Stegostoma tigrinum: one gene and its partners. The protein of the gene in region 1 purifies or fractionates together with the protein of each later gene. This does not show direct contact. Links are inferred from orthologs where the notes say so. Each region holds a gene or a part of one and is shown in the gene's direction. Other genes may lie near its edges.

What was found.
Region 2: the proteins of gsk3ba (region 1) and myosin-9-like purify together in Homo sapiens (affinity purification with western blotting; 4 studies listed by BioGRID, with this or other methods). This does not show direct contact. The link is inferred for Stegostoma tigrinum from reciprocal best matches to the Homo sapiens genes GSK3B and MYH9.
Region 3: the proteins of gsk3ba (region 1) and prune purify together in Homo sapiens (affinity purification with mass spectrometry; 5 studies listed by BioGRID and IntAct, with this or other methods). This does not show direct contact. The link is inferred for Stegostoma tigrinum from reciprocal best matches to the Homo sapiens genes GSK3B and PRUNE1.
Region 4: the proteins of gsk3ba (region 1) and cAMP-dependent protein kinase type I-alpha regulatory subunit purify together in Homo sapiens (affinity purification with mass spectrometry; 3 studies listed by BioGRID and IntAct, with this or other methods). This does not show direct contact. The link is inferred for Stegostoma tigrinum from reciprocal best matches to the Homo sapiens genes GSK3B and PRKAR1A.

What each region holds. Positions count from the first base shown.
Region 1 is NC_081365.1:34,870,947-34,877,892, forward strand, and holds the start of gsk3ba (glycogen synthase kinase-3 beta), read left to right. Parts: upstream 1-3,936; 5' UTR 3,937-4,499; coding exon 4,500-4,587; intron 4,588-6,946. UniProt on the Homo sapiens protein: Constitutively active protein kinase that acts as a negative regulator in the hormonal control of glucose homeostasis, Wnt signaling and regulation of transcription factors and microtubules, by phosphorylating and inactivating glycogen synthase (GYS1 or GYS2), EIF2B, CTNNB1/beta-catenin, APC, AXIN1, DPYSL2/CRMP2, JUN, NFATC1/NFATC, MAPT/TAU and MACF1.
Region 2 is NC_081391.1:3,547,387-3,555,156, forward strand, and holds the start of myosin-9-like, read left to right. Parts: upstream 1-4,763; 5' UTR 4,764-4,935; intron 4,936-7,770. UniProt on the Homo sapiens protein: Cellular myosin that appears to play a role in cytokinesis, cell shape, and specialized functions such as secretion and capping. Required for cortical actin clearance prior to oocyte exocytosis. Promotes cell motility in conjunction with S100A4.
Region 3 is NC_081400.1:4,160,983-4,168,973, reverse strand, and holds the start of prune (exopolyphosphatase PRUNE1), read left to right. Parts: upstream 1-4,990; 5' UTR 4,991-5,056; coding exon 5,057-5,095; intron 5,096-7,991. Other genes in the region: putative PIP5K1A and PSMD4-like protein, read left to right, coding at 1-129. UniProt on the Homo sapiens protein: Phosphodiesterase (PDE) that has higher activity toward cAMP than cGMP, as substrate. Plays a role in cell proliferation, migration and differentiation, and acts as a negative regulator of NME1. Plays a role in the regulation of neurogenesis.
Region 4 is NC_081375.1:22,779,343-22,786,718, forward strand, and holds the start of cAMP-dependent protein kinase type I-alpha regulatory subunit, read left to right. Parts: upstream 1-4,369; 5' UTR 4,370-4,571; intron 4,572-4,659; 5' UTR 4,660-4,688; coding exon 4,689-4,859; intron 4,860-7,376. UniProt on the Homo sapiens protein: Regulatory subunit of the cAMP-dependent protein kinases involved in cAMP signaling in cells.

The sequences.
Region 1 (6,946 bases):
AAAGAACAAATCTCTCCCTCAATATCAACAAAACTTAAGAGCTGATCAACTACTTCAGGAAGCAAGGAGGAGAGCACGCCACTTTCTACATCAAGGGAGCTGAGGTGGAGATGGTTGACAGCGTTGAGCTCCTATAAGCAACGTTCACCAACAATCTGTCCTGGTCCAGCCAGGTTGATGCGACGGTCAAGAAGGCAAATGTCTCTTCGTCCTCAGGAGACTAAGGAACTTCGGCACATCCACACATGTTCACGCTCAATTTTTTTTTAACAGATGCGTCATAGAAAGCATTCTATCTGGATGTATTACAGCTTGGTGCGTCAACTGCTCTGCTCTGGACAGTAAGAAACTCCAGAAAGTTGTGAACACAGCCCAGATCATCATGCATGCCAATCTTCCACCCGAAGACTCAAGTTACACATCTTGCTGCCTCAGAAAGGTAGCCATCACTGAAGACTCCTCCCATCCCAGTTATAATCTCTTCCAACTTTTTTCAATGAGGCAGGACATGTAAAAGCTTAAGCACAAGTACCAATAAATTCAAGAACAGCTTCTTCCCTGTTGTTATTAGGCTTCAGAGTGGACCTCTCAAATTTCAAGTCTAATGCTGATCTTGCTTTTTGTGCAACTTTGTATTCCTTGCTCTGTTCTATCATCCTGTGATCTTAGTATGTTATGATCTGATCTGCATGTACTGCACACAAAACAGAACTTTTCACTGTACCTAGGTACACGTGACAAGAATAAACCAAATCAAATCTTTCATCATTGAGTGAGTTTGGTTCTGCTCTACTTATTTAGTTGTGGCCAGTGAAATCATCTGCAATTGCTCATTTGCTATCCTACATTTTTATGTCCAATGTCCTCTGATGATCCACTCTTAGCTCTATTTCTGACACACATGCTGTCCTTCAGTGATATAATCTGAAAACACACAAATTTTCACACTGTCAATGCTCAGTCTGGCCTCACTCTCACATCTCTTGATTCTTCCACTGTGGCTAATTTATCAGGCTGGTTGAGCAGAAATTTCATGCAAATAAAAAATTTAGAAAACTAAAATGCTGGCTTCAGTCCGGGTTGTAAGTGTCATTCTCTGTCTTTTATCTCTATCTGTAACCACTCCTCTTTGGTAACGTTTTCCTAAAAGAAAAATGGTTATCAAAGTTTTGTACTTATTACATGCCTCTGACCTATTCAATCATCCTCAAAATTTTCTTTTTTCTCACTTATAATAGTTTTATTTGCTGATATAAGTGTAAAATGCTTGACTATTTCTTCTGAGCATTAAGAACATTTTAAAAGTTTCTTTGTGCTCCTTTTTTGTTTTCCTTACCTGTAATCTCTTATTTTCTCCTACTCATTTTACTTTTCTCACTGAAAAGTCTAAGATATGGATATTTTTTCTTCGAAGGTGATTAACAACCTGCTTTGGAACCAGCCTCTGGCACAGCTGACAATTTCAACTACATCTACTTTATATATCTCTACAGTTTCACTCCATCCTAGGCCTATACTTAAGCATAGCAACTCGTCAGTCTATCTTCTGTAAAAGGAACAGGCTCAAGATGCTAAATAATCCAGTTCTGTCCTATTTTTCTATAACATCTGAACTCTGTCTCAGATTGCTTTTTTAAGCAAGTTATTGTTAGCTCGTTTATATTATTATTCATTTACAAGCTGCATTCAAATCATATAAATGTATTAATATTTCACCAGCTATATGATTTTACCAATTACTTCACCAATCAAATTCACAACAGCCAGAGTCAGAGGTCTATGGCCCTTCCGCCCAATCTTCCTATGGACCTCAGTTTTCACAATTTAAACTAATCCCATTTGCCTGCCTTTGGTCCATATCCCTCCATACCTGTTCCGTCCACGTAGATTGGATTAGATTCCCTACAGTGTGGAAACAGGCCCTTCGGCCCAACAAGTCCACACTGCCTCTTGGACAATCGCACCCAGACCCATCCCCACCCCCTACAACCCACACACCCCTGAACACTACGGGCAATTTAGCATGGTTAATCCACTTAGCCTGCACATCTTTGGACTGTAGGAGGAAACCGGAGCACCCGGAGGAAACCCATGCAGACATGGGGAGAATGTGCACAGATAGTTACCCGGGGCTGGAATCAAACCCACGTCCCTGGCACTGCGAGGCTGCAGTGCTAACCACTGAGCCACCACGCAATGTACCTAACTATTTCTTAAATGACAATTGTATTCGCTTCCACCACTACCTATTCTAGGCAATCACCACACTCTGAAAAAATATTGGCACTTTGGACTCTTAAATCTTTCCCCTCACGCCTTAAATATATGACCTCTAGCTTTAGGTTTCTCAATCATGGGGAAAAGCTGTCTATCTACCTTACTGATGCCGCTCATGATTTTATAGACTTCGATCAGGTCACTCCCTCAGCCTCCTACATGCCAGTGGAAAATTTCCTAGCCTAGCCAACCTCTCCTAATAACACAAACCTTCCACTCCAGGTAGCATCCTAGTAAGTCTGTTCAGCGCTCTTTCTAATTTAATATGGTAGGGTGACCAGAACTGCATACATTACTTCAAATATGGCCTCATCAACATCTTGTACAACTGCAATAGTAGAGTCCAAACTAAGTTCCATACAAATCACAATTTTCTCAGTTCAATATCAGAAAGAACAAAATATCTTGCTTGGTTCATGCCAGAAACCTCAGACCTCTGTTGTCAAAGCTGCCTCACTCTCATCACATGAATTTCATTGCTGATCCAAATGAATCTCAAGATGTGTACCATCAAGGGTCTATTTACTTGAGTGGCAATTCAAATCTCAATCTAACCTATTGACAAGCTCTGCTACTTTTGTCATAATTGTGTGTGCTGAATTTCAATCTGAGATTTAAAACTGAGTTTTAGAAAAAGAGGTTGTCAAAAACAAATCTAGAGTCCACCAATTTCCTACTTAGTCACTTGCTGATAAGATGTTCCTGAAGATACATGTTTTGTTTCTGCCCCCCCAAAATGTTTGAGAGATTTAACATTACCGATAGAAGTTACAAATTTGCAGATACTTTTCTAACTGTCTGAAGCAAGACCAATTCTGTAGTTACATCACAATCATTTCTTCAGCAAATGAGTTACTTGGAAATCAATAGTAGTCTGTCCTAGGGCCAAGTACATCTTGTCCATTTAACTTATGACTGGTGGAATAGATCACTAATCACCAGGCGTGACTGGTTTACTCCAACAGAGGGCAAGGTCCATTCAAATCACTGCCCAACGTTCATAATCAGCCTTAAAGCGATAAAACTTGTGAACCATGATACCGTTTTCTCGGGTATCATAGGTTGTTCAGCTATGACTGCAGAGTTCAGCAGCTGATTTACATATAAATTCAAATATTAGAGGGAAGAAAATATTGTATTTTCTAGAACAGATTGCCTATATATTACTTACCACTGGCCTTTGTTCTTTTTTGCTATTCTGATTCTAATTACTGATAGGTTCTGTATACGTAAGTATTTCCTTGTCTGAAATATAAGCTGCACCTGTCGGTTAAATCGTACCAGCCGCTCCTCCAAGCTAGAGGTCGCTGCCAGTTGCCCTGTAATGCGTTCGAACACTTCCAATCACAGGCAACGCTCGTCGTCAGATTTTTCCGTCAGGTTCCGGTTGGCCAACGTCACTGGCACTTCGCGGAGCTCGTGCTTTTCCGTCACCGCTCCTTATTGCCGACGACGTGCTTTCATTGGCTGGCGAACACAAACGAAGAGGGGGAAGGGCAAACCGAGGCTGTCGGCCCGTTTCCCCGTCGCTATCAGTCAACCGAACTTGATAAACACCTCCAGCAACACCCCCTCGCCGATTGGTTCCGCATCGCCCTAGGCGATGCTTACGTCTTTGACGCGTTCTGTGAATGGTTCTTTTCTCACATCAATCACTGCGCCCCGGCATCAAGTTAGATTGACCAGGAGGTTACAGCTGCAGTGAGAGGGAGAAAGAGATAGGCAAAAAAAGTACAAAGACAGCCGAGTGAATTAGGGAGGGGTTTTAACCGTTTTAATTGGGGTAAAACCACGGGTTTTCCCTCAGACATTGTTTTATTTTTTTTCCGTGTACTAACAGAGATGCGACTGGGCTATTAAGATCTGAAAAAATAAGCCGAGAAATTAAAAAAAAGGAAAAAAAATTACCTCAGGATTGAATTGAACTGAAGGAGCCGCCATGGCAGGAACCACCACCACCACCACCATCATCATCACCACCACCATCCTGCATTGAGCTCGGTCAAGATCAATATAGACCTTTGAAATCATTTCAGATTTATTTCTGACGATTATTATAAAAATATTTTTTAAAAAGACAGATAATTTGACCAGGAGAAATTTGCGCGATGAAACCAGGTGGACAGGATTAAAAATCAGAGGGGATCGAAAATAAAGGAATATAAGTGTCTTTTTTTTAAAAAATATATGTTTGAAAAATTAGATGTCGCTTTAAAGTAATCATGAGTGGTCGACCCAGGACAACGTCTTTTGCTGAGAGCTGCAAACCTGTGCAGCAGCCGTCTGCTTTTGGGAGCATGAAAGTCAGCAGTAAGTACATTATATCTAAATCATTTTCCTTTATTTAGAATCTTGCACACCTTCACCCCCCACCCCTGAAAACATTGTTAATCGAACGATTTCTTGACCTGTGGTATTTGTTAATTAACAGTCAGTGCTAATCGTAAAAAATGTAGGCCAGACTGGAAATGATTCGCCTGATGGTCTGCTTATGGCCGAAAGGATTCCTGGTAACAAACGATTTGAAATCGGAAAAGACGGAAAACTTTAATCTGCTTAGAAATGTGCATAAAGTAATTGTGAACTGATTCTTTTAACTCTGTAATTGCTTATTGATATTAATTTAACATATATAATTATCATGAGTTGGAATTGGAGTTTACAACTTCTGAAGGGCACAAATATTAGAATAACTTCATTGTATAACCAGTGGACATAGAAATGGAACATGGAAATTAATTTCTAGCTTTTTCTCTGCGTGTCCATCAGGTTAAGCAGAGATGTGGTATGTTTAGGAATTTGGCATATTTGTGATAGTGTGCAATTAGTACTTTCAACATGTCAACTTTGATTTTAACTCATTTAAAAATGATGCATTTTTTAAAATATAGAAACAGCATAATTTGTAACTGTTGGTTCTACCAAATAGTTGATTACTTTTTTAGTGTAAAACTTATGTTAGTGGCGTACACTAACTATCTTGTTTTCATAATTACTGAGTATGTTGTATATAGTTATAACTGTATGTGCATGTCTGTGACAATAATGCAGAATCTAGTGTACATCCAAAACACTCCTGACATTTCTGAATTCACAAATATCAAACAAGTGGGGCAAAGAAGTGGAGGGAAGAAGGTTGACTAAATGAAGTGATGAGACAATAGTAATACTTGGACATCCCTACTGGAGGTGGACAATCCCTAAAGTTGCTACTGTCAATCGACTGAGGGCAGACATGAAAGAATTTGTGATAAGCTAGCTGTACTGTTGGAAATGTGCAAAATTTTGCACGATTTGTGCTGTTTTACAATGTTTTTATGATAGGCCTTATTTAGAAATTGGTATGACAAATTACTTTTTGCATACGTTTTCATAAACTGTTTTTTAATAAAAATCCTAAATATCCTGACACAATGAGTTCTAAACTTCAAGAATCATTGGATAAGGCTAAATTGGTATGCTGTAGTTTTACTTTTGTGAAGCTATTCTGTTTTTTGTTGTAAATCTATTTTGTATATTCGGATTTAGTCAGATTGTTTTAAGGCTTTCTTTGAATGTTATTCTATCACATACATATCAAGGAATTGGCATAGCTGTGGAAAGACAGTACTTCTCATTTTCAGCACAAAACATTGTTAAGGGCCCATCTCTTGCCTTTTATTTTGTTTGTAAGAAGTTCATTATGTAGTTTATTTGATTAAAATTGCAATACCTCATTTAAGTTAATGCAACCAAGGAAATTGCAACTTTGATCCATCGTGTCTGCGAATTAATTGACCTCGATCAAGACAGCAATTATTGTGCTACTGGTGACTTCAGTCCATCATATAGGAGGGGGAAATTGGTCAGGCTTTCTGCCATAGAATGTGTTTTCCTCTGTTGTAAGCTGTTGTGTGCAGGTACTGAGTGAGGACAGAATTATATAGGCTTGGCTAAGATAATTCTATACTGTTTTGCTACTGTACAGATTCACATAGCAAACTTAATGTGAGTCATCACCAAAATGTAAAAGTTTTATCTGAACACTTACCTGAACACTTATCTGTTCTTTTAAAAATCTGAGCTACCTATGGCAGCTGACAAATGGCCATTTTCCAGTTGCTCTGTATCGTGAAGGATTGATGATGTGCTACCTCACTCCGGTGCGCTTCCATGGACTCCCCATCCTCCTCTTTCCTTGTCCGTACTCCTCCTTTCTATCCTTTTCCACCCTTCCTTCCCCAGTCCTTACCCCCATCCCCACTTCTCCTCCTCCTCTTCCCACTACCATCCGCCCAGGCCTCTCGTCCCAGACTCCCTGTTTCTACTTTCTCCTTCTCCATGCTGCCCCACAACCCTCCATCCTGCCCACTTGCCTTGTCACCTGCCCGCCTCTCTCATCACCCCCACCTCCTGACACCCCTGAAATAATCTCCCTTCCAGCCTTCTGCCTTTGCCCTGCCCACCTCTAACCCAATGCTCTTGCCTTTTCCCCACGGCCCTGGCCCCCTTCCTCCTCTCCCCCCTCTACCAGCCTCTCTTCCTCCCCTCCCCCCCGGCCCTTCTCCACCTCCTCCTTCTCACCCACCCCGGCCCTTCACCCTCACCAGCCCACCACCACGTCCCTTCCCTTCTCCGCCCAACCCCCCCCCACCCCCTTGTCTCTTCTCTTTCTCCCCCCACCCCCCGG
Region 2 (7,770 bases), on another chromosome or scaffold:
AGGATACAATAGGACAGGTGACCAAAAAGCTCAGACAAATTGGGAAAATTTAAAGGAAATATATTTTAAAAGAAGAGACGAGGTAGACATTTAGAGGGGTATGCTACAGTCTAAGATCCAGACAGTTGATCCCATCACTATTGTGAAGCTACACCTGCGACAAAATATCTGGAAGAAAACAAAACAGGTCAAACAGGCAAGTCACTGAAGGCATATTGCTTTTACCCTCTGGATGAAACTGCTCCTTTAATGACACAAAATATAAACATATTTTAGTTACGCTGTTTCTGAGGTCTCTGGCCCAAAGGGGACTTAAGTTTTCAAACTATAATTCTCAGGGGCTTGCCTTTATATGAGAAGTAATATGATCCAGACTCCCAAAACACCATCTTACGCCAAAGTACCACATCAGATAGCAGAGATTCTAATATGCACAGCAAACTCTACTATCCCCAGCTGTGAAGTAACCTAGTAAATTTCCCTTGCCTCAGGAGGTTAAAGGGAGGAATGCAACAGGGAAAATTAAGTAAACAATAAAAAATGAGCAATTTCAATATTTTTAATATATCTGTAATTGATCTTACCTTGTCTAATGCATGTTACTTGTGATGTCCACAGTCGCAGTATGGGAGTAAGGTAATTCATCTCAGATAGTACATGGCTCCTGCTATAACTCAGTTTCTGAAAACAGTGAATAGGTGATCTAAACAGACCAGAAATATCCCAAATAGTTTGCAAATCTTAACCTGAGTGATACTACTGTTGATTTTACTGGCCTCTGTGCAGAGGGAAGAAAAGAATTGGATTTCCACTGTAGCAATAATGCCAGAAGATTAGGAGTACAGGGACTACCCAATCTATGGCGTCCCTCACATTGGTGGGGTGGGGGGAGATTCTGCCACACTGGGCCGAGATTCCAGGGTGAGGCACTGCCATGCCAAGCTGAGAGACTGCCATGGGCCATTGAGAGACGGGGCCAAGACACTGCCATACTAGGTTGAGAAACCAGCATGGGCTGCTGAGAGATGGGGCCAAGGCACCACTACATTGGGCCGAGAAACTGCCATGGGCCACCAAGAGACTCAGCCGAGAGACTGCCAGAGGCTGAGAGGAGACCTCACTGGGTCTGCATTGAGGCCGCGTGTGAAGAAAAGAAACACCAGGAGAGAAAAAAAAGAGAAAGAAATAGGAAAGAAATGGATAGAGTGGATGACCTCCTGCTGAAGCATCCTACTCCGGTGCCAATAGGAGGAAAGGAGCAATGTGTGTATCATCTTCTTAATATCACATCAGGGAGTGATACACTACTGTCTACTACAGACAGATAGTTTCAGGACAGGATTTCTCTTTCTTTGAGGTCAGTTTAGCTCAGTTGATTCTCATCTTTAAGTCAGCGGCTTCAACCTTAAAGCTTGCTCCTGGGCTTGAACATATCATCTAGCTGATACTTCAAAAGGCATAGAGAGTGCTGCATTGTTGGAAATGTTATATTTTAGATCAGCAATTAAGGTCTGATCTGTATTTTTATGTGAATGGAGAGATCCTACAACATTATTTATCTGAAAAAGATCATGGGGAGATGGATGATCTATCAATATCATAGGTGATATACTAGTGTTGTCATTAGACTAGTAATCCAGATATCTAGGCTAAAGCTCTTGGGACATGGGTTCAAATCCAACAATGTTCAACTTGAACTTAGTGAATAAATCTGGAACTAAAAGCTAATTTCATGGTAAGCATGAAGTAATTGCCAAAAACATCTGGTTCATGAATGCCCTTTGGATTGGGAAAATTTGCTATATTCACCTGGTGTAACCTGCAGTGAGCAAAGCAGTACTTACTCAGCAATAACCTACTCACTGTCGCTCAGTTTGTCTGGCCCACTGAGTTACTGTCCTCATTATAGGCTGGGTCCAAACATGAATAAAAGAGATGAACCTGTGAAGGAAAGTGAGGGTGATTGCCTTTGACATTAAGGCAACATTTGAACAAGTGTGGCACCAAGAAACCCTAGCCAAATGGGAATCAGAGGGAAAGCTCTTTGTTACTTGGAGTCATATTTAACGTAAAGTAAGATGTCTGTGGTCGTTGGTGATCAATCATCTTAGCCACAAGAAATCACTGCAGGAATTCCTCAGCTGTTTCAACAATTATGCACCCTTCATCATAAGGTCAGAAAGGGGCATGTTTATGGATGATTACACAATATTCAGAGCCATCATAGCTCCTTACATACTGAGGTAGCACAGTATGGAGCTGGAGGAACATAGCAGGCCAGGCAGCATCAGAGGAGCAGGAAAGTTGACGTTTTGGGTCAGGACCTTCTTCAGAAATGGGAAGGAGCAAGGGAGCTCAGAAATAGAGAGAGGGGTGGGGCTGGGGAAGGTAGGTGGGATGGTGATAGGTGCGTGCAGGTAGGGAGTGGGGGGATTGGTCGGTGTGATGTGTTGGGTAGATAGAAGATCGACAAATTGTGTCAGGTCAAGGAGGGGGGATGAGAGGGAGGGTTAGACACGGGATGAGGCCGGGCATAGGGAGATTTTAAAACTGGTGACATCAGTGTTTAGGCCATTGAGCTGTAGGCTCCCAAGGCAGAATGTGAGGTGGTGCTCTGCCAGTTTGTGGGTGGTGTCATTGTGACACTGAAGGAGGCCCAGGATAGACATGTCACCCAGGGAGTGGGAGGAGGAGTTAAAATGGTTGGTGACTGGAAGGTGTTGTTGTTAGCTCCGTACTGTATTGTCTCTGACTCCGGCATCTGCAGTTCTTGCTATCTCCTTAGATACTGAAACAGTCAGTGTCCAAATGCAGCAAGATCCTGACTTGGGCTGATAAGTGGAAAGGAGCATTTGCAATACACAAGTGCCAAGTAATGACCATCTCCAACAATACAGAATTCAACCATCTGCCCATGATGCATTATCATTCATAGTTGAATCTCCAACTATCAATATTCTGGGGGTTGCCACTGACTAGAAATGGACCATGACTAGCAATTTTAAACAGTGGCTAAAGCAGTATTAGTTAATTTTTCTTGATTCCAGGGCGGTCAAATGACATTCCAATCATTCTATCAAGATCATAAAACTCCACAACAACTTTTTAACAAACTTCTTGTTGCAGTCACTTCATGAAAAATAAATTAATGAAATGGACTTGACTATGTTGCCACTTGGTGCATATTGATTTAAATTCATGGTAGACCAAATCAAATGCCACAGAACCTAGATCTACCAGTTGTGGTGTTCATTCACTGTTTAGTTAGTTATTCAATTTTCAAATGGTGCTTCTACTGTCAGTTGTAGGATGCTTATGATCAAATAAGTCAACACAAACCAAGAGTGAATCAGGGGACGTTTGGGTTTTGGAATCATTGGACTTTCAAGTCATTGAACAGCCACTTATTGAATTGTTTTGGCAGCTTTGGTATGGCCTTTCGTCAGTTTGAATACCTTTCTTATCAGAGAATGTTCAGAGCTGCTTGTTATCAATTGCAGGGAAAATGATATGATGTGATGTGATAGAATGAGTATTTTTACGACTGTTAACAAGAAGTAATGATATACACAAAAATATTAATACAGAATAGAATCCCAGGTAGTGTAGTGCAAAAAACATACATAATTTAGGAATCGACTGGATTCTGTAAAGGGAGGGGAACCTTCAGAATAGTCTGCATTTCTAAATTGTATGCTGATGTCTGTAATTTTGTTATACTGGAAAGTGTGATTGAATCAATTGAACATGTGAGGATATTCATCTTGGTCAGTGGTGCAAAACGGGCAGTACTGGAGATTTTTCTATTCAACTTGTTCAGAGATGTAATTAAACACATTTGGAGCAGAAGTTCTGACAGAATAACTGGATTTGAAACCTTAACTCTGTTTTTCTCCCCAAAGATGCTTTAGACTTGCTGAGTTTCTCCAGCAATTTTTGTTTTTGTTTCAGAATTATTTGCAATTTTTGTCTTTGTTTTACTTTTAAGGCAAATGAAAGGTTGGCTTTTTTTCCAGTCAAAATTGTGTGTGTGGGTAGAGGGAACTCAGTGTGGACCCAGTGGAGCACAGCAGGCCAGGCAGCAACAGAGGAGCAGGAAAGTTGTCGTTTCAGGTCGGGATCCTTCTTCTGAAGATTCTGTTCTGTCAGATAGAATAAGGTAAGATTTTTAATTAGTAAGGGAACCAAAGGTTTTCGGAAAAAGGCAGGTAAGTGGAGTTGAGGTTTATCAGATCAACCGTGGTCTCATTAAATTGGAGAGCAGTTTCAATGGGCTGAATAGCTCAATATTTCTTAACAATGTTCTTATTCTTACCTGGTCAAGCCTACGTGACTCCAAAGTTCCAGTAACATGGTTATTTCTTGACTTCTCTCCGTACAATTAGGGATAGACAGCAGACGTTGGACCAAACAGTTTTGCCCACATACCCATCAACAAATAAAATAAAAATTAAGGCTAAGCAAGTCGGGAGCTACCAATCCCTTCAATTTTGAGCTTTTACCACATCCCCTCCTTCAATGTCCTTCTCCGTTGGCCGACCGAGATGTCGTTCAATCTTACCTCATCACTCCATATGACTGCGGCATTAGCCACTTTCCTGGCTTTGCCGCTGTAGGAGGAGTTATCAGTCAGTTGGAGAGGGAGCTGCCCCGACGATGGGGGATTCTTTCTTGCTATTTGTTATATCGTCTGCCACTCAACTAGCACGGCGCCCGTCTATTGGTCAGGGGTGGAAGTTTACGTCACGGGTGGGATCTGCCCAAACGGTTGGTGCGCGAGCTGCAGTTCGAGAGCTCGAGCGAAGCAGTGAATCGTGACGGACGGACAGCATTTTTAAAATTTTGGATTAAAAAGCGATAAGCAAAGTCCATCTATTTCTATAGATTATAATTCAGGAAGGCGACAGCGTTCGAAAAAAAACTTGAATCTCGGAGGTAAGCGACAGTTTGAAAAAGCACCTTGTTTTTGGTCGATTTATTAAGGCGGAAAAGGGAGAGAAACCAGGAAGAGAGTCAGACACCGGGTTGGGCCGGCGCGCTCGCCGCAGGCAAGAGGCTCCCGACCCAAGACGTCAACTTTCCTGCACCTCTGATGTTGCCTGGCCTGCTGTGTTCCTCCAGCTCCACACTGCTGTCTCGCCACGGGCAATTTCGTTCCTATCAAATTTAAATACTTTTTCCTTTTTAAAAAAAAAGTTCAGAGGATAGCTTTGCTCTATCGACTAACTCTACTGACGAATTTAAAAACTACCTTAATCTGCAAAAGAATTGAGTTTTTTGGAGTTAGTGTGAGCTGGATTGTTAATGCATTTTTGTAATTTTCAAACTCGTGCTAATCAGGGGACAGGTAACATGGAAACCGCCTTTCGCGTTCCAGCCACTATAAAAATGGGCTTGGCTTCCGCTTCTTCGGTTGTATGAACTCCCTGCCTCCTCTTAAAAAAAATCAAATGTGATTTTTCTCTCAGTCTAAAATAATTAGTTGGTAAGATAGCAGTTAAAATGATTACGTCTCTGGGACGTGGAATGCTGGCGAGAGGCATTTCATTGATTTAATATAGAGCAGAATAATCCACTCTTATGTACGCAATTGTCCTATATAAAATATTTTTGGTATCATTTAGCTTGCATAGTTATGTTCTGTTCCAGGACAGTAATGAAAAGCTGCTTTTATGAAGTTAAAATAAAACTTTGAATTTTGAAGAGAGGAGAATTCAATCTTTTCCCCAAGTGCCCATCCCATTATCATTAAAATTGTCAGCACCCTAAGGACAGTAATTGACTTTCTTGTTTCTGACAAGTAAAAACTATGGTGTGAAATGTTACTGTTATAATATCTAACAATTCATTTCCAAAATTAAATGCATAAGGAAACTTTGAAAACGTGGGTTATATAATTTGTGTTTAAGTAAAACACCCTTATGCACCTAGAATATAACCTTTGAATACTTCCTTTTAAAATGGTTAGATTTTTGTTTAAAAAAATTGTTAATTGGATAAATTACATATTCCCCAAATTTGGAGATGATGGTTTAAAAGGAAGAAGTTTAGATGGTGTACAGCTTATTTACCTGAAAGTACTGCAAATGAGGTCATTAAACTGCTTTGCCATATGATAGCTCTTTACCTTCTGCAAATCCTTAGGGCTTCTGCATGAACTAAAGCCCCACCCAGTTCGAAGTGTAAAACTGTAATGTAAGTCAAGAATGACTCATGGAGAAGTGTGCTGATAACTTACAAAAGCCTTCCCGTTAGCTGACTATAACTTTTCTGGAATTTGAAAATGTTATTGCTTCAAAATGCCTGGTAGCTTATACTGCCTACTAGTGAAGGATGCATTTTTACAGAGGTTAAGAATGTCAAAACAAGCTTGAATATTTCCAAAATGCATACTGTTGTTTTTCTTCTGATACTATGAATAATGCAGCAGTGAAATGCTGAGGATCACTTTCCTCATGCTTTTGTTTCCAGTAATGTGACATTGATCAAGCTTTTCTTCTATAAAATTTACATTCACCCAAACTTCTGTTGCTCATGTTCTATGCTTAACTTTTGCTCACCTGTCACTGTTTGAACTATTTGACTTCTGGTTTTGCAATGTTTTGATTTTAAAATTATCATCTTTAATTTTGAGTCCATCTCTTTCCCTTCAACCTCTGATCTCTAGCACTACAGGCTTCAGATTTTTGCACTCTTCAAATTCTGGCGGCTTGTGTGTCCCCATTTTTTCATCCCTGTATAATTGATAGCCTTTGGCTGCCTGAGCCCTAAGCTGTGGAATTCCCTCATTCAGCTGCAGTTCTTCTGTACCTTTTCTTCCTCCCATCCAACCTCGTCTTATTTATTTGAGGTGCTTTATTAAAACCATCCTCTTGTCTGTTTTAATGTCTTGTGTGGCTTGATGTTTAAGTTTGTATGTATTGTTCCTGTGCAGCACCTTGAAATGCTTCATTATATTAAAAGTCCCAAATAAACTATTTATCTACATGATTTATAAGATTTAGTCCATTTAAGTTAGTGTATCTTTCAAAATGTTGTCTGAAATCTCAATATTGTCAATGGGGAGGTTGCCCTGCTTCCTATTTGAGAATAAGTAATTAATAAATTGAGCCATAATTTACTGCAGTAAAAAGACCGTGTCACTTTCAAATGTGGCAAAGGACTTTTGACATTTCTATGGCATTTCAGAAGGTACTGAAATCTTGTAGTTTTGGCATTTGGACATTTTGTAATTATTGAAGTTTTAACTCTGTTATCTTCCTTTAGCTTTATGAAATCATTTGGAAAAAAGTAATCTAAATACTCCATTTGAAATTTCTAAGCTATTTAAATATAATGTTTTTGTACAGGACTAACTTCTGCAGAAATTATCATCTTTTCTGAATGTTCACACTTGGAAAAGGAATTTGGTAGTCAAATGGAACAATAATATAATATATTTCATAAAATAGAATTGGTAATTTATAAAAATCAAACCTGCATACCTTGAAGGTAAAAGCTAAAGGTATAGGTGACAATATGTCTGTATACGATCAAGGTATAAGTAGTCCAAACTCCTTTTTGTCTTGCATGATTTCCAAGTTTCTAGGGCATCAAGGTGTGGTGGCGTGCTTAAGAATGTAGAGTGGTGTTCTGACTTGTTCATGATGGATGTTTCATGTTTCCTTTGCACTGTCTTGCTTTGTTTCTTTCTGGAAAAGCTTTTACATAGGGAGCAGAAGAACAAAAAATGTGAAGTACTTTTTAAAAAGTTGGAAAGAATTTTAATGA
Region 3 (7,991 bases), on another chromosome or scaffold:
CTGCAGAGCGTGTTGGAGAACCTGCCTGGCGTTGACCCAAACAACGAGGCCATTCGGAACGCCATGGGCTCCCTACAGTCGCAGACCTCAAAGGATAACAAGAAGGAGAATGAGGAGGAGAGGAAGTAGAGCTGGGTTGTCCCAGTTGATGTGAATGGAGAATTCTGTCCATACAGTGATCTGCATGTTGCTGCTCCAGACAAACTGGCCTTACAATACGATGAATATCACATTCTTTAGCAGTGGTTATTGGCTGCAAGCAGTAAAACATTGCGCGTGAAAATCTCTATCTCTTGACCCTGGTTGGTAGCACGGTGTGAGTTTTTTGCTTTGGAAACAGGACATTAATAAAATACACAAAGACCTCAGTTGTACTTCGAATTTAATTTGAGTCTGTAACTGAGTCCCTGTGTATGTGGCTGCACAGACATATCACTGAGAAGGGGTTGCTCAGTGTGACATTGCTCCGTTCTAGCCTTCTCATTGTTGGGAGATAATGGTCCTTCTTGTGTATAACTAGTTATAATCAAACTGTTCAGACATGCAGTGCTGCGTAATAAAAACTGAAAGGACTGTGGATGCTGGAAGTCACAAACAAAAACGCAAATACCTGGAAAAGTTCAGCAGCATCATTGGAGAGAAGTCCACGTAAACAGTTCAGGTTCAGCAACCCTTCCTCAGGACTGATGCATGTCCGGGCCAGGTGGGACTTCAGCCTAGGCCTTCTGGCCCAGATATTGGGATACTTCCACTGAACCACAAGAGCTCTCATATTGGGGTTTACCCTTTGTTTTGAGTACTGCTACAGAGATTACTATGGGAAAGAGGTGCCGGTGGCAGCCTATTTAGTAAGCAGATACGGTAACCACTTGCAAGTGATGCCAACCATGTGATACACAGGATTAGAAGCTGACCAAACCTCACTGTCTCTTAAAACATCTCCGTTTGTGTGCGTGTAAGAGAAGGGCAGGTTAAACTGGGGAATGAAATCATTGGTGTTAATGGCACAAGGATAGAACGAAACCACCGACCAATGCTCGCAAGTGCTGATCTTGGTTAAGCCACCAGAGGGAGACATTTCCCCCCCCTGCCCTCAAGCCAGGGAGCGATTGCAGTCTGAGACAGGTACCAATGCTTCTATTGAACAAGGGCTCCGGAAAGGAAGACCTGGAAGGCCTTCCTGCTTTCAAGGGTCAATGAGATAAGAAGTCACAGGCTGCTGAGTCAGAAACTTGTGACTCTGTGACCCTTTCCAGAGAGAGGCTCATGTTCTCATGCAGTGCCAAAGGGAGCGGCACACGATCAGGCATCTAGTTTGGGGCAACGAAGATGTGATATAAACAGAACGCTTTAGAAATGGGTGCTATTGATATTGCTATTTCTGGAGCAGGCCAACATTCTTCGCCCATCCCATGGTGCCCTTGAGATGGTGGTGGTGACCTGCTGCCTTGAACTGCAGTTCACTAAAGATGGTGCATCCACAGTGTTGTTAGAGAGAGGGCCAGGATTTTGACCCAGTGACATTAAAAGAATGGTGAAATAATTCCAAGCTGGGACGGTTATCTGAAAGGCAAATTGGGTTATTGGCAGGAGGGAGGGAGCGGAATGGCAAGAAGTGAATTGGTCATTCACAGACAGTGTACAAACATGAGGGGCAGGACAGCTGTTTTCGGTGCTGTGACCCCTCTGCGATTCTGTAAATGTAGAAAGGACAGCAGATCAAATACCTCAGCTCCTGTGGAGAAGTTGGGATTGGAGAAAGACAGATTAAATTTCGACAGACTGAATAACTGGCAGGAAGGTGAAGCACGAGGGAGATGTTGAAATGTTTGTTTTGATGTCACGAGTTGTGGTCTAGAACTCACTGCCTTGAAAGGGTGGTGAGAACAGATTCAACAGGAACTTTCAAAACTAGATACTTGAAGGAGAACGGCTTGTTTTACCCGAGTCAGCTTTCAAAAAGAGCTCCTCTATATATCCCATTCTCCCACTGCTCTCTTTCCACAGCGCTGTAATTTTGTACCCTGTTAGTTAAATATTAATGGGAGCTTTCTAAGTGCAAATTAGCTGCTGTGTTTCCTATTTCACAGCACTGTGAACATTAGCTGTAAAGTGTTTTGGGATATGTCATGAAGTGCAATTTCTTTTCAGTGACTCAGTGGTTCGCACTGCCACCTCATAGCACCAAAAACCCAGGGTTTGATCCCACCCTTAGGCAACTGTTCTCCTCCTGTGTCTGTTTCCTTCCACAGTCCAAAGATGTGTAGGTTAGGATGGACTGGCTATGCTGAATTGTCCATTGTGTCCAGGTTAGGTCAATTAGTGATGGGAAAAGCAAGGTTACAGGGATAGATAGGGTAGGGGTGTGAGAATAGGTGGGATATTCTTCAGAGAGGTGGTGTGGACTTGATGATCCGAATACATTCTATGGTTCTTTCCATGATAATTGGGCTCCTTGTTCCTCACAGAGGAGTACAGCTCCATCGGCAACAGAGAGAATGGGAAACACAACCAGACTGGAAAGGCACAAAAACAGAAGTTGCTGGCAAAGCTCAGCAGGTCTGGCAGCATGTGTGGAGAGAGAAAGCAGAGTTAATGTTTCGGGTTGAGTGACCCTTCCTCAGAACTCTGATTTCTCTCCACAGATGGTGCCTGACTTGCTGAGCTTTTCCAACAACTTATACTGACAGGAAAGGCTTTGTGCTTCAATATTTCCAGGCAAATCTAGGTCTGTTTTGCCGAAAAATGCTCATGGGTCTGAGGGGCATAGATTGGGAGACTATTTCCCCCTCCATCTGTAATAAACTGGTCAATAACTAAAGGGTTTTAAAGGTAAGAAGCAGAGATTCTGCGAGGACTTGAAGAAAATAATTTTCACCCAAAAAGGGTTGTGAATTTGCAACTTGCTGCCTGAAAGAATGGTGGAGCCAGAAACCATCACAACATTTCAGATGTGTTTTAGATGAACACTTGAAAAGCCATGAATACAAGGCCCAGTGATGGAAAATGAGATAGAATATAGTTTTTTTTTTAAAAAAAACTTGGAAGAACTGCAGATGCTGGAAATCTGAAAGAAAAACAAATTGCTGGAAAATTTCAGCAGGTCTGGCAAAATCTGTGAAGAGTCAGAGTCCTCCAGCACTGAAACAGATCGTTCAGTCCAAGCCACACATAATCCTAACTGCTTGCGCTTGCCCCAAATTCCTCCAAACACGACTTATTCATGTACCTATCCAAATGTCTTTTAAACATTGTAATTCTACCCGCATTCACCACGTCCTCAGGAAGTTCATTCCACGCACGGACCACCCTCTGTGTAAAAAAAAATTGCCCTTTTTTTTTTAAATCTCTCTCCTCTCACCTTAAAAATGTAACCCCCTAGTTTTGAAATCACCCCTTCCTAGGGAATGGACAACTCCCAGTAGCTATATATACCTCTCATTAGATCTCTGTAAATCCCCTCTGAACCCTCTCCAGTTTAATAATATCCTTCCTGTATCTGGGTGACCAGAACCAAATACACAGTACTCCGGAAAAGGCCTCACCAACCTCAACATGACTTCCCAACTCCTATCCTCAGAGACTGAGCAATGAAGGCAAGCATGACAACCACCCTGTCTATATGTGACACAAACTTGAAAGAATTATATACGTGTGCCCCTAGGAGCCTCTGTTCTATAACACTAACCAAAACCCTACCATTAATTGTATAAGCCCTACCCTCGTTTGTTGTACCAAAAGGCACTTATCCAGATTGAACTCCATCTGCCATTTTTCAGTCCGTTGACTCAATTAATCAAGATCCTTTTTGTAATCTTAGAAAACCTTCTTCACTGTCTATAATGCCATTTGATGTTATCCACAAACTTAGTAACCATGCCTTCTAAATTCTCATCCAAATCATGTATATAAATGACAAACAAAAGAGGACCCAGAACCAATGCTTATGGAACAAGGGTTGTCACAGGCCTCCAGTCTGCAAGGCAACCCTCCACCACCACGCTCTGTCTCCTGTTGTTAAGCCAATTATATGTCCAACTGGCAAACTCACCCTTAATCTTGTGACCTAACTTCACTAATTAGTCCACTGTGTGGAACCTTTTTGAAGGCTTTACTAAAGTCTAAATAAACAACATCTACTGCTCTGCCTTAATCAATCTTTTTGGTAACTTCCTCAAAAAACTGAATCAAGTTTGTGAGACATGGTTTTCCTCACAAAATAATGCTGACTATCCCTAAGCAATTTTTGCCTCCCTGAATGTTCATTAGTCCTACCTTTTATAATCACCTACAACAGAAGTCAGACTCAGATATCTTTAGTTCCCCAGTTTCTCCTTACAAACATTCTCAAACGAAAATACAACAGCAGGCACCCCACCCATGGTTATAGATGATAAATATTTTTGCAGGGGGTCTCACAATTTCCTTCCAACAACATTCTGGGATACATTAGATGAGATCCTGGAGATTTATCTACCTTTATGTTCTCTAACATCTTCTGGAGAGAAAGCAAAGTTTAACGGTTCCAGTCCGTTTCTGAAGAATCCAAAACATAGGTGTCAGTATTGAAACCAGACATTCACCCTGCTTTTCTCTCCAAAGACCTGCTGAGCTTTTCCAGTAATTTCTTTTTTGTGCCCCCGACCGAAACATGGTGGATACTCCGGTGTGGCTCAGCAACACGTGTAATCATTGATAATAAAATGTGAGGCTGGATGAACACAGCAGGCCAAGCAGCATCCCAGGAGCACAAAAGCTGACGTTTCGGGCCTAGACCCTTCATCAGAGAGGGGGATGGGGGGAGGGAACTGGAATAAATAGGGAGAGAGGGGGAGGCTTGCCTGCACCCCACCGAAAAGAAGAGTAACTTATTCAAATTATAGCATTTGGTTTTGAAAAGAACAATTTCTCATTCATTCCGACTTTGAAGGTCCTTAAGTTCCGGGAGGGACAGAGCGAGGGGGTGGAGTTAGTGAGCGCTTGCGCAGTGCTGCCGGAATGTATCAAACTGTGGCTATGTATCAATTGTGAAGGGCCGCGTTGAAATTGACTGGACATGGAGCCTTTCCTTAGGGGCTGTATAACCACTTTGGAGGTGAGTCTGGCTGGGTAAGAGTGTGTGTCCTTGTTTCGGGAAAGTGGGCAGCTACTCTTACACTACTGTCATACGTTTCGCTCCTGTCCCCCTTGCAAGACTTCTCCATCCCCTCCCCCTTTTACGACCATGCAGATAGGAAGATTACCAAGTGTATTTAGCTCTGAGTAAGGCAGGCGTTGGAGAAACTTTACCCTCTCAGTCGAGTAGCTAAAGGAGGGCAAGAATTTTCACGCAAGGAGCAGGAGGGTATTTGAGGAACGTTTTCCTTTCATCCAGAAGGTGCTGGGTGTATGTAGAACTCACTGGTCCACAAGGTGGTACAGGCTGGACCCCTCGCAACATTTTAAGAGCTATGCAGGTTATAATTTAAAGAGCCAAAGCAAACAAGGCTTGGGGCAAACTGGTGGAAAGTGGGTCTACAGTAGGTAGGTATTTCTTGTACAGGTACAAAATGTCTTAGGTTTGTTTGTTCCTTCATCTGCTGCAGTACAGAACCGAACTGGTTTAGTGCCTATGTATATGTACAGATATTTTTATGAATAAAGTATATTTTTCAAATTTAAAACAAACTTGATGGAGAAGTACGGACCTGGTTGTCTGAGAGACTCTATGACCCAGTGCTGTGGTACACCCTCTTCACTCCTTTATTTGCCCTCTGTTACTGCTGGTGTTGTGGCACCTGCATGTGCCCACCTCCCCCGACCCCCCCCCCCCCAATTCCTCCCCCGACCCCCCCCCCCCCAATTCCTCCCCCGACCCCCCCCCCCCCAATTCCTCCCCCGACCCCCCCCATTCCTCCCCCGACCCCCCCCCCCATTCCTCCCCCGACCCCCCCCCCAATTCCTCCCCCGACCCCCCCCCCAATTCCTCCCCCGACCCCCCCCATTCCTCCCCCGACCCCCCCCCCATTCCTCCCCCGACCCCCCCCCATTCCTCCCCCGACCCCCCCCCCATTCCTCCCCCGACCCCCCCCCAATTCCTCCCCCGACCCCCCCCCCAATTCCTCCCCCGACCCCCCCCAATTCCTCCCCCGACCCCCCCCCAATTCCTCCCCCGACCCCCCCCCCAATTCCTCCCCCGACCCCCCCCAATTCCTCCCGCCGACCCCCCCCAATTCCTCCCGCCGACCCCCCCCAATTCCTCCCGCCGACCCCCCCCAATTCCTTCCCCCCCCCAATTCCCTCCCCCCCCCCAATTCCCTCCCCCCCCCCAATTCCCTCCCCCCCCCAATTCCTCCCCCCCCCAATTCCTCCCCCCCCCAATTCCTTCCCCCCCCCAATTCCTTCCCCCCCCCAATTCCTTCCCCCCCCCAATTCCTTCCCCCCCCAATTCCCTCCCCCCCCAATTCCTCCCCGCCAATTGCTCCCCCCGACCCCCCCCATTGCTCCCCCCGACCCCCCCCAATTCCTCCCCCCGACCCCCCCAATTCCTCCCCCACCTCCCCCTGCCGAATCCTCCCCCCCCACCCCCGTCCCCCGCCCCCCCCACCCCCGTCCCCCGCACCCCCCCCACCCCCGTCCCCCCCCTCCCCCCCCACCCCGTCCCTCCCTCCCCCCCCCACCCTCACCCCCCCGTCCCCCCCCACCCTGTCCCCCCGTCCCTCCCCCCCCCAACCCCTTCCCTCCCCACCCCCCGTCCCTCCCCCTCCACCCCCCGTCCCTCCCCCTCCACCCCCACTCCCCTCCCCACCCCCACCCCCGCTCCCCTCCCCACCCCCACCCCCACCCCCGCTCCCCTCCCCGCTCCCCTCCCCATCCCCGCTCCCCTCCCCACCCCCACCTCCCCCCCTCCCCTCCCCACCCCCACCTCCCCCCTCCCCTCCCCACCCCCACCTCCCCCCCCTCCCCTCCCCCCCCTCCCCTCCCCACCCCCCCCTCCCCTCCCCACCCCCACACCTCCCCCCCTCTCTCCCCCCCTCTCTCCCCCCCCTCTCCCCCCCCCTCTCCCCCCCCCCTCTCCCCCCCCCCTCTCCCCCCCCCTCTCCCCCCCCCCCTCTCCCCCCCCCTCTCCCCCCCCCCTCCCCCCCCCCTCTCCCCCCCCTCTCTCCCCCCCCCTCTCCCCCCCCCTCTCTCCCCCCCCCCCTCTCTCCCCCCCCCTCTCTCCCCCCCCCTCTCTCCCCCCCCTCTCTCCCCCCCCCTCTCTCTCCCCCCCCCTCTCTCTCCCCCCCCCTCTCTCTCCCCCCCCCCTCTCTCTCCCCCCCCCTCTCTCTCCCCCCCCCTCTCTCTCCCCCCCCCTCTCTCTCCCCCCCCCTCTCTCTCCACCCCCCTCTCTCTCCCCCCCCCTCTCTCTCCCCCCCCCTCTCTCTCCCCCCCCCTCTCTCTCCCCCCCCTCTCTCTCCCCCCCCCTCTCTCTCCCCCCCCCTCTCTCTCCCCCCCCCCCTCTCTCCCCCCCCCCCTCTCTTCCCCCCCCCCTCTCTTCCCCCCCCCTCTCTTCCCCCCCCCTCTCTTCCCCCCCCCTCTCTCTCCCCCCCCTCTCTCTCCCCCCCCCTCTCTTCCCCCCCCCTCTCTTCCCCCCCCCTCTCTTCCCCCCCCTCTCTTTCCCCCCCCTCTCTTTCCCCCCCCTCTCTTTCCCCCCCCCCTCTTCCCCCCCCCTCTCTTCCCCCCCCCTCTCTTCCCCCCCCCTCTCTTCCCCCCCCCTCTCTTCCCCCCCCCTCTCTTCCCCCCCCCTCTCTTCCCCCCCCCTCTCTTCCCCCCCCCTCTCTTCCCCCCCCCTCTCTTCCCCCCCCCTCTCTTCCCCCCCCCTCTCTTCCCCCCCCCTCTCTTCCCCCCCCCCTCTTCCCCCCCCCTCTCTTCCCCCCCCCTCTCTTCCCCCCCCCTCTCTTCCCCCCCCCCACTCTCCCCTCCCCTCCCCTCCCCCCCCCCCACTCTCCCCTCCCCGCCCCCCTCTCTCCTCC
Region 4 (7,376 bases), on another chromosome or scaffold:
AGAAGTAAGGATATGGCATAATTAGCTATTTCAGACATGGGGAGGGCAGAGCCTTTATTTAAACATGAAGATCTGAACTTAAAGTTGCAGGCTATTTGTCATAGACAAGTATGATTGAATGGCACTTGGTGTGAGATATTTTGGTATACAGTATTATTTGAACTTGGAAGTGCTATACTTTGGCAATGAGAAATGAGGAGCTAAGTGGAGTGTTTGGTGATTTCACTTAGTGTTGGAAATCATGAGTGGCCATGCAAGATGTTTGGTGATCATTACCTTGGCAAGGTGGCCTAAGGAGGAACTTATTAGCTTATCTAGTGAAATTCCTTCATGCAGACTATTGTTCGTGTCACATCTGATTCACTGTGAACCACACTCTTCAAAAATCTGGTCCTGCCCAAAAGGAAACACTGCAGTAAAATCTGATGCAAAAACAGCAATTACTGGAGAAACTCAGAAAGTCTGGCAGCATTTGTGGAGAGAAAGCTTTTTCACCACAGATACTACCAAAACAACTGGGTTTCTTCAGCAATTTCTGTTTTTGTTTCAGCTGTTCAGCATCTGCAGATCTTTCTTTTAATTTTGTAGATGACGCATACTGATTTAACTTGTTTTGTGTACCTCGGAACAGTGCTCCGGTATGATCAATGTATTCATTTCCAAGTATTACTGTTTTTTTTAATGTGTTTTTCTCTCTCTGGGTCAACGACGCAATGGAGGAATGTGTCATGCCAACTCAGCAGTGAGCTGGCTGGGCTAGGAGCGGTAGGTGTGGACTCAGGACCTGAATAAGCTTGTCCCAAAGGTCCTGTAAATTGGGCAAATTTGTTAAATATTTAGAAAGACAGAACAATCGCATTCAAAAAAAAACTTAATGTCATATAGAACCAGTTTATATTCCTAAGGGATATGAAGCTCAAATGGCAAAAGACAACATAAAACTGAAAGAAAACTAAAGACAGGAATGCAAAAAAAAATCATGTTGATTGGAAGAGCTTTTAGGAATAGCAAAGAGTGGCAAAATCAATTGTAAAATTTACAAAATACTGTATGAAAAGAAATTTGCAAGGGATACCAAAACAGCATTGAAAACAAAAAATGCTGGAGATCACAGCGGGTCAGGTAGCATCCATGGTGAGAGCAAGCCAACGTTTTGTGTCGAGATGACTTTTCTGCAGAGTTGATGTGAAGGGTGGACAGGACAGCATCTATGCATTAGGTGGGGGGAAGGGGACGATGTGGAGTGCTGGGGGAAGAAAGGGTGCTGATAATCCAGATTAAGTGATCTGAATGTGAGAATGGCAGATTGAAGTTGTCTCTTGCTGGCAGACTGGAAAAACAAACAGTCCACTGGAGTCGGGGGATGGGAGAGAGGACATGGTCACAAATAATGTAAAATTAAAAGAATTAAAGGAATGGAAGTGGGTTCTCAATCTGAAAGAGTGTGAAGAGGGATGAACACAGTAGGCCAAGCAGCATCTCAGGAGCACAAAAACTGACGTTTCGGGCCTAGACCCTTCATCAGAGAAGGTGTTTAACTCAATACTAAGTCCAAAACATTGTAAAGCCTGGCAGTTAGACACACCATTGTTCAGCCATTCTCACATTCCAACCACTTAATTTGTACTATCAATACCCTTTCTTCCTCAGCACTGCAAACACCATCCCACAAACATTGCATAAATGCTGCTCCCTTCACACTTCACAGCAGCTCTGCTGAAGGGTCATCTAGATGCGAAACATTAGTTTGCTGTCTCCCCATGTATGCTGCCTGATCTGCTGTGATCTCCAGCATTTTTTGTTTTCAGTATAGATTCCAGCACCTGCAGTAATTTACTCCTACCAAAACCAGCACTTTTTAAAATCATTTGCGTTATGAGAAAGACAGTGTAAGTAAAATAACAGTAATGAAGAAAATAATAGATCAAATAAAATAATGAAATAACTCCACAGCTATCAGTATCCCATCACTAAGTCATCTTTTAATTACACATGGAGAACCCTTGAGACAGATCCAGATTCCTCAGAATTTGCCCTGAGTGAATAGGATGTCTGATATTCAGGTTCTTATCTGTCAGCTACGCCTCTCTGATTGGACCAGATTAACAGCCCGATCAGAGAAGTCATATTCTATAAGGACCAGCTGGCTGATTACAATCACTACACCAGATAATTTCTATCCCAGGGTTTTAAATGAAATTCTTATCTAGTATTTTGAAGAGTAGGTGCTGACATGATGGACTGAATGCCTGCTTTCAGCGCTTTAACAATTCTCTGATTCTGTGAAGTAGGTGAGGACATTGCAAATGCCCCACCAACAGTTTTCTAAAATTCTCTCAATTTTGGGCCCCACACCTCAGGAAGGACATACTGGCACTGGAGCGTGTCCAGCGGAGATTCACACGGATGATCCCTGGAATGGTAGGTTTAACGTAATGATGAACAGCTGAGGATCCTGGGATTGTATTCATTAGAATTTAGAAGGTTGAGGGGAGATCTAATAGAAACTTATAAGATAGTGTATGGCTTAGAAAGGGTGGACGCTGGGAAGTTGTTTCCGTTAGATGGGGAGACTAGGACCCATGGGTACAGCCTTAGAACTAGAGGGGGTAAATTTAAAACGGAAATGAGGAGACATTTCTTCAGCCAGAGAGTGATGGGCCTGTGGAATTCATTGCCATGGAGCGCAGTGGAGGCTGGGATGTTAAATGTCTTCAAGGCAGAGATTGATAAATTCTTGATCTCACAAGGAATTAAGGGCTACGGGGGGAATGCAGGGAAGTGGAGTTGAAATGCCCATCAGCCGTGATTAAATGGCAGAGTGGACTCGATGGGCTGAATGGCCTTACTTCCACTCCTATGTCTTATGGTCTTCAATTTCTGCTTCTTTAGATCAATGCTTACCAATCTTTCTTTTCCTGTGATCTCTTTTTTTATGTCCTGAATGTTTTTGCGACTCCTTAGGAAGAACTATTGGAACTGGAGCACATGTGTACAGTTGTCATAACTTGGTCAGAACTCCACAACTGTCTTTCTGCATTGGAGTTCATGATCCCAATATTTCAGCTTGTAAACCGCTTTAGGATGTCCTATTTTTGGACTGTAAAATTAGATTTATGAGAGGGAAACCAGGGAACTATAGGTCAGTTAGCCTAAATACATTGGCTCAAAATTACTTGTCAGCTGTTAAGGATGATGACTGAACACCTTCAAAATTTTCAGCTGATTGACCACAGCAGCATGGCTTTATAATGGATATATTATGCTTGATGATCTAGTAATTTATGAAGAGGTGACTAATTCATTGGATGTGAAATATCTATTGAAAGAAAATGTCAATGTATGTTAATTTTTGATATGGATATCTAGAAATCATTTCCCAAAGGACCGTTCGGGTTAAGCCTGTACTCTTTGCAATGTAGAAGAATGAGTGGCAACCTTATTAAAATTTACAAGATTCTTAGGGGACTTGACAGTATAGGTCCAGGAAGGTTGTTTGCCCCGAGACAGTCGAGAACAAGAGCATTTAACCTCAGAATAAGGGGTCACACATTTAAAACATAGATGACGAAGAATTTCTTCTCTGAGTGTAATGATTCAGTGGAATTCTTTACTGTAGAGGCCATTGAGGCTGGGTCATTAAGTATATTCAAGGCTGAGATAGCGTTTTAATTAGTAAGAGTGTCAAGTGTTATAGGGGAAAAGGCAGAAAACTGGAGTTCAGGATTATGAGATCAGTCATCACCGAACTGACAGAGCTGACTTGGGCTGAATGAACTTGTGTTCCTACACCTTGTTATGCTATGACTGATTGAAATTTTCAAGATATTACAGTGAAGAAAGAAAGACTTTCTATGGTCGGAAAGTGTCGCATCGGGGGCTTCAACTGAAAACGAATCTGACCTTTCAGGACTGCGAGAGATGGGAGAAGTCTCTTCCTCGCAAGTGACAACTGTTGCTCCTTTATTTGTTAGTTTAAAATCTGAGCCTGACACGTTTTTGTTAATCGACTGTGTGGGTTGAAGGTGGGCATTTGAAGAATCCAGTGACATATCCGCCGTGATGTCCTTGAATGGTGTACAAGAGTGGCTCAAGGGCCTACGCTTGCTTAAATACCTACGCGGTGCGTGTGTCAGTTTATCCCCAACCTCGTGAAATTTGTAAACAGTGAGAGACGTGCAGGGGTAGCAGCACGTTGGTTCTGTGAGGGTACAGAGTGAATGCTTGAGTGCAGCGTGTAAACATGGAATGTGCGCGTTACAAGTGTGGTGTCCCGTGTATGTGCATACAACACACTGCACATACCATTTCCACAGGCCTGTGGTTTCCGCCTCCCCTCCCCCACCGCGGCTGAGAGCGAGGCGCATTGACGTCAGCGGCGCGGCTGCCTTCCGGTGGAGGTGACAGTGACTGAGGAAACTCGTCCTGCCGCAGTCGCTTTCTAACAGGCCCCTGTTCCTACGGATAAACTTGTTCAGCCTGTCGCCCCTAGGATCGGTGGGGGGGGGGGCGGAAAAGACAGGCCCATCGCCCTCCCGCTCCGACTGTCGACTTCGTTTTCTGTGGGGTGGGTAGGTTAGAGGAAGGGGGTGGATTGGAGGAGTAGGCGGCGAGTGGTCTCTCGGCGCCGAGTTAACTCGCTGTCGATCATTCCTCCAGGCTTCTGAAGCGTTAACTGGGTGGCTAAGATGGCGGCCGCGGGGAGCGGGGAAGAAGAGCGCAGCCTGCGAGAGTGTGAGCAGTATGTCCACAAGCACAACATCCAGCAGGTCCTCAAGGACTGCATCGTTCAGCTCTGCATCGCCAGGCCCGAGAAACCCATCACCTACCTCAGGGAATACTTCGAGAAACTCGAGAAAGTGAGTTGAGAGGGCAGCAGGTTTCATTTTCTCAAAGGAAAGGAGAGAGTAGCCTTGTTTATTTTGTTTGGGGCGTGTGGTGGTTGACGATTAAAGGACAGTTTGACTTTTTTTGCTTCGTGTATGATCAAGCTTCTGTAGTTGGTTGATGGCGAACGTGGCAGGCCGACGTTTTAGTGCTGACCTAGAAAAGAGTTTTGTTCGTGTTTGGTGCATATGTTATTAAGCAGTTAACGGACCAGAGACAAAAGCAAAGCCAAGCAGAATGTAAGCACTTGTTAAGATATTATCAGTGAGTCCTTTGATTGTTAACAACATTCTCGGTTTCATGAAGGTGAGTACCCGCGCGCTGAAAAAGATTAATGTAAAAAGTCTTTTTCGGACAGAGAAATCACCTGTTTAGCTTGGTGCAAAAGTATTGGACATTCAAGGTAATCAGTTTCCTATAGTCTATGCTCATGGCTGCAGTTTTGCTCCAAATACTAGTGACACTCGAGGGCCATTGGTGACTGCAACATTGACGTCAGAACGCTTTAGGTAAATCGTGGGTTGCTAGAAATGTGAAATCACTTTGCATCATCTTGTGATTTCCCAGAATTTGAATGAAGTAATTAGATGTATTCACATTCTTTTGTCTATCCAGTAAATTTCTTCCTGTCTTTTCTGTTCTCTCTTCCCTCCCTCTTTCCCCCCCACTAAAATGCACATAGTGTGGCCTCCAAGGTTTCCATTTAATTTCGGATCTATATATTGCCCCTTGTCATCTGATTATGACTGAATAAAGATTGCATGAGTAATAGTAAATTGTACTTAATTCATAATTCTTCACTAACAAGAGAATGATATTACTTCAGTGATGCGAAGTGTTGTTATTCACCGAAAGCAATATTTCACTCTGTAATCTTTCTACCACCTATAAGGCATAAATCAGGAGCTGTATGGAATACTCTGCATGTCGATATGAATGTGCCTGTTAAAACACTTGGAGCTCAATGATGCACAAAACATCCCATCATCGTTGTAAACATTCACCACTCTAAATCGTGCTTTGTTCTGACTTGGATGTATACCAGTCTGTCTTCATCACTGAGTCAAAATCCTGAAACTTGGTACTATGGCTGTATCATTATCATATGGACTACGTTGGTTTTTCTTTAAAGATGGCATAAGCACTTTGGCTGTGGGTGGCAGAGCTTTGCATACTTTGTGAAAATACTTTGTTTCTTCAAAAGTAGGGAAGGAAGTAATAATCAAATAAGTGGGTTCTTTTATATATTTTGTGCACAATGTTATCAGCAATGTTTCTGCAAGAATTAAAGCTTTGTGAAGGGAATGAAATTCTGAAGCCTCTTAAAAAGTGACCCAGTATAATTTCAGACATGTAGAAAAATCTGTTAAATATTACTGGCCAGTAAAATTCGCTTGTTTAAAATATCATCATTTCAGTTGATAGGGAAGTACATAATTTGTATTTTTTTACTTTGGGTTCTGGACAAAATCAAACACGTTTGACAATTGATACATGACTTGTAACCTGTGTAGTGTGATTGTCATGTATAGAATATTGAGCTGCTTTTAGCAAAAGTTCGGATTACATTAGTTTTAACATTGCTTAGTCATTTACCTGTTTTACGATTGAACTAGATGTCACTTGGTGGATAGATGAAGATTGATTAAATTGACAATGATTTGTTTATAAATCTAATTAAAAACAGTGCCACTTCTGACTAGTTGTTTTTCTTTCAAGAACAGTTTGTTTGCAGATAGGTTAGCTGATTATAAAGTAGGTCAAATTTGTTAAAAATGCTGGGAGTTATTAGAATTGATGAACAAAGTTAGCATGACAAAATAATTTTAAATTACTTAAAATTTTAGATTTAAAATTTTGGGGAATTCTAAAGGAATAAACATTCAATTCAAAATTGAACAAAATCATTGGGGAATCTTCAGAAATTCCCATTTTTAGTATGTAGCCAGCAGCACCAACTAGGAGTGGGGTTCAGTATTAAGGGCATTATAATGTATTACTGAGGTTGGCTTAGTATATCCTGATAATTTTTGAACACTATAGCTCCAAAGGACATGATTGTAGCAAAAGGGGCAGTGAAGCTGATTTCTCAAGAATTGAATTGAGTCAAGAGGGAGGCTTTAATACTTTTTATTTGTACCAGCAAAAGAGTGTTTATTTTTGGCATATTGCTTTTTAAAAAAAATAACATTTTGACTGGTGCTAAAGATTTGAGAGACTGAGAAAGATAAGCCAAGGCAAACATTTAAAAACTGAATTACTTCAGAATGACACTGAACTGGAAGTTTGCAAAATAAGTTGTTGCAGAGGAGTAATTCTTGTACTTGACATCCATTGCTAATTGGAAGACAAATCCCAAGTATAGATATGTTTTTTTAAAAATGTGCTCATAGAATGTGGGTGTCATTTGTAAGTTAATGCTTATTGGCCATCTATAAATACTCTTTTTAGAAAGTCATGATGAACTGCCTTCTTGAACCATTATAGTC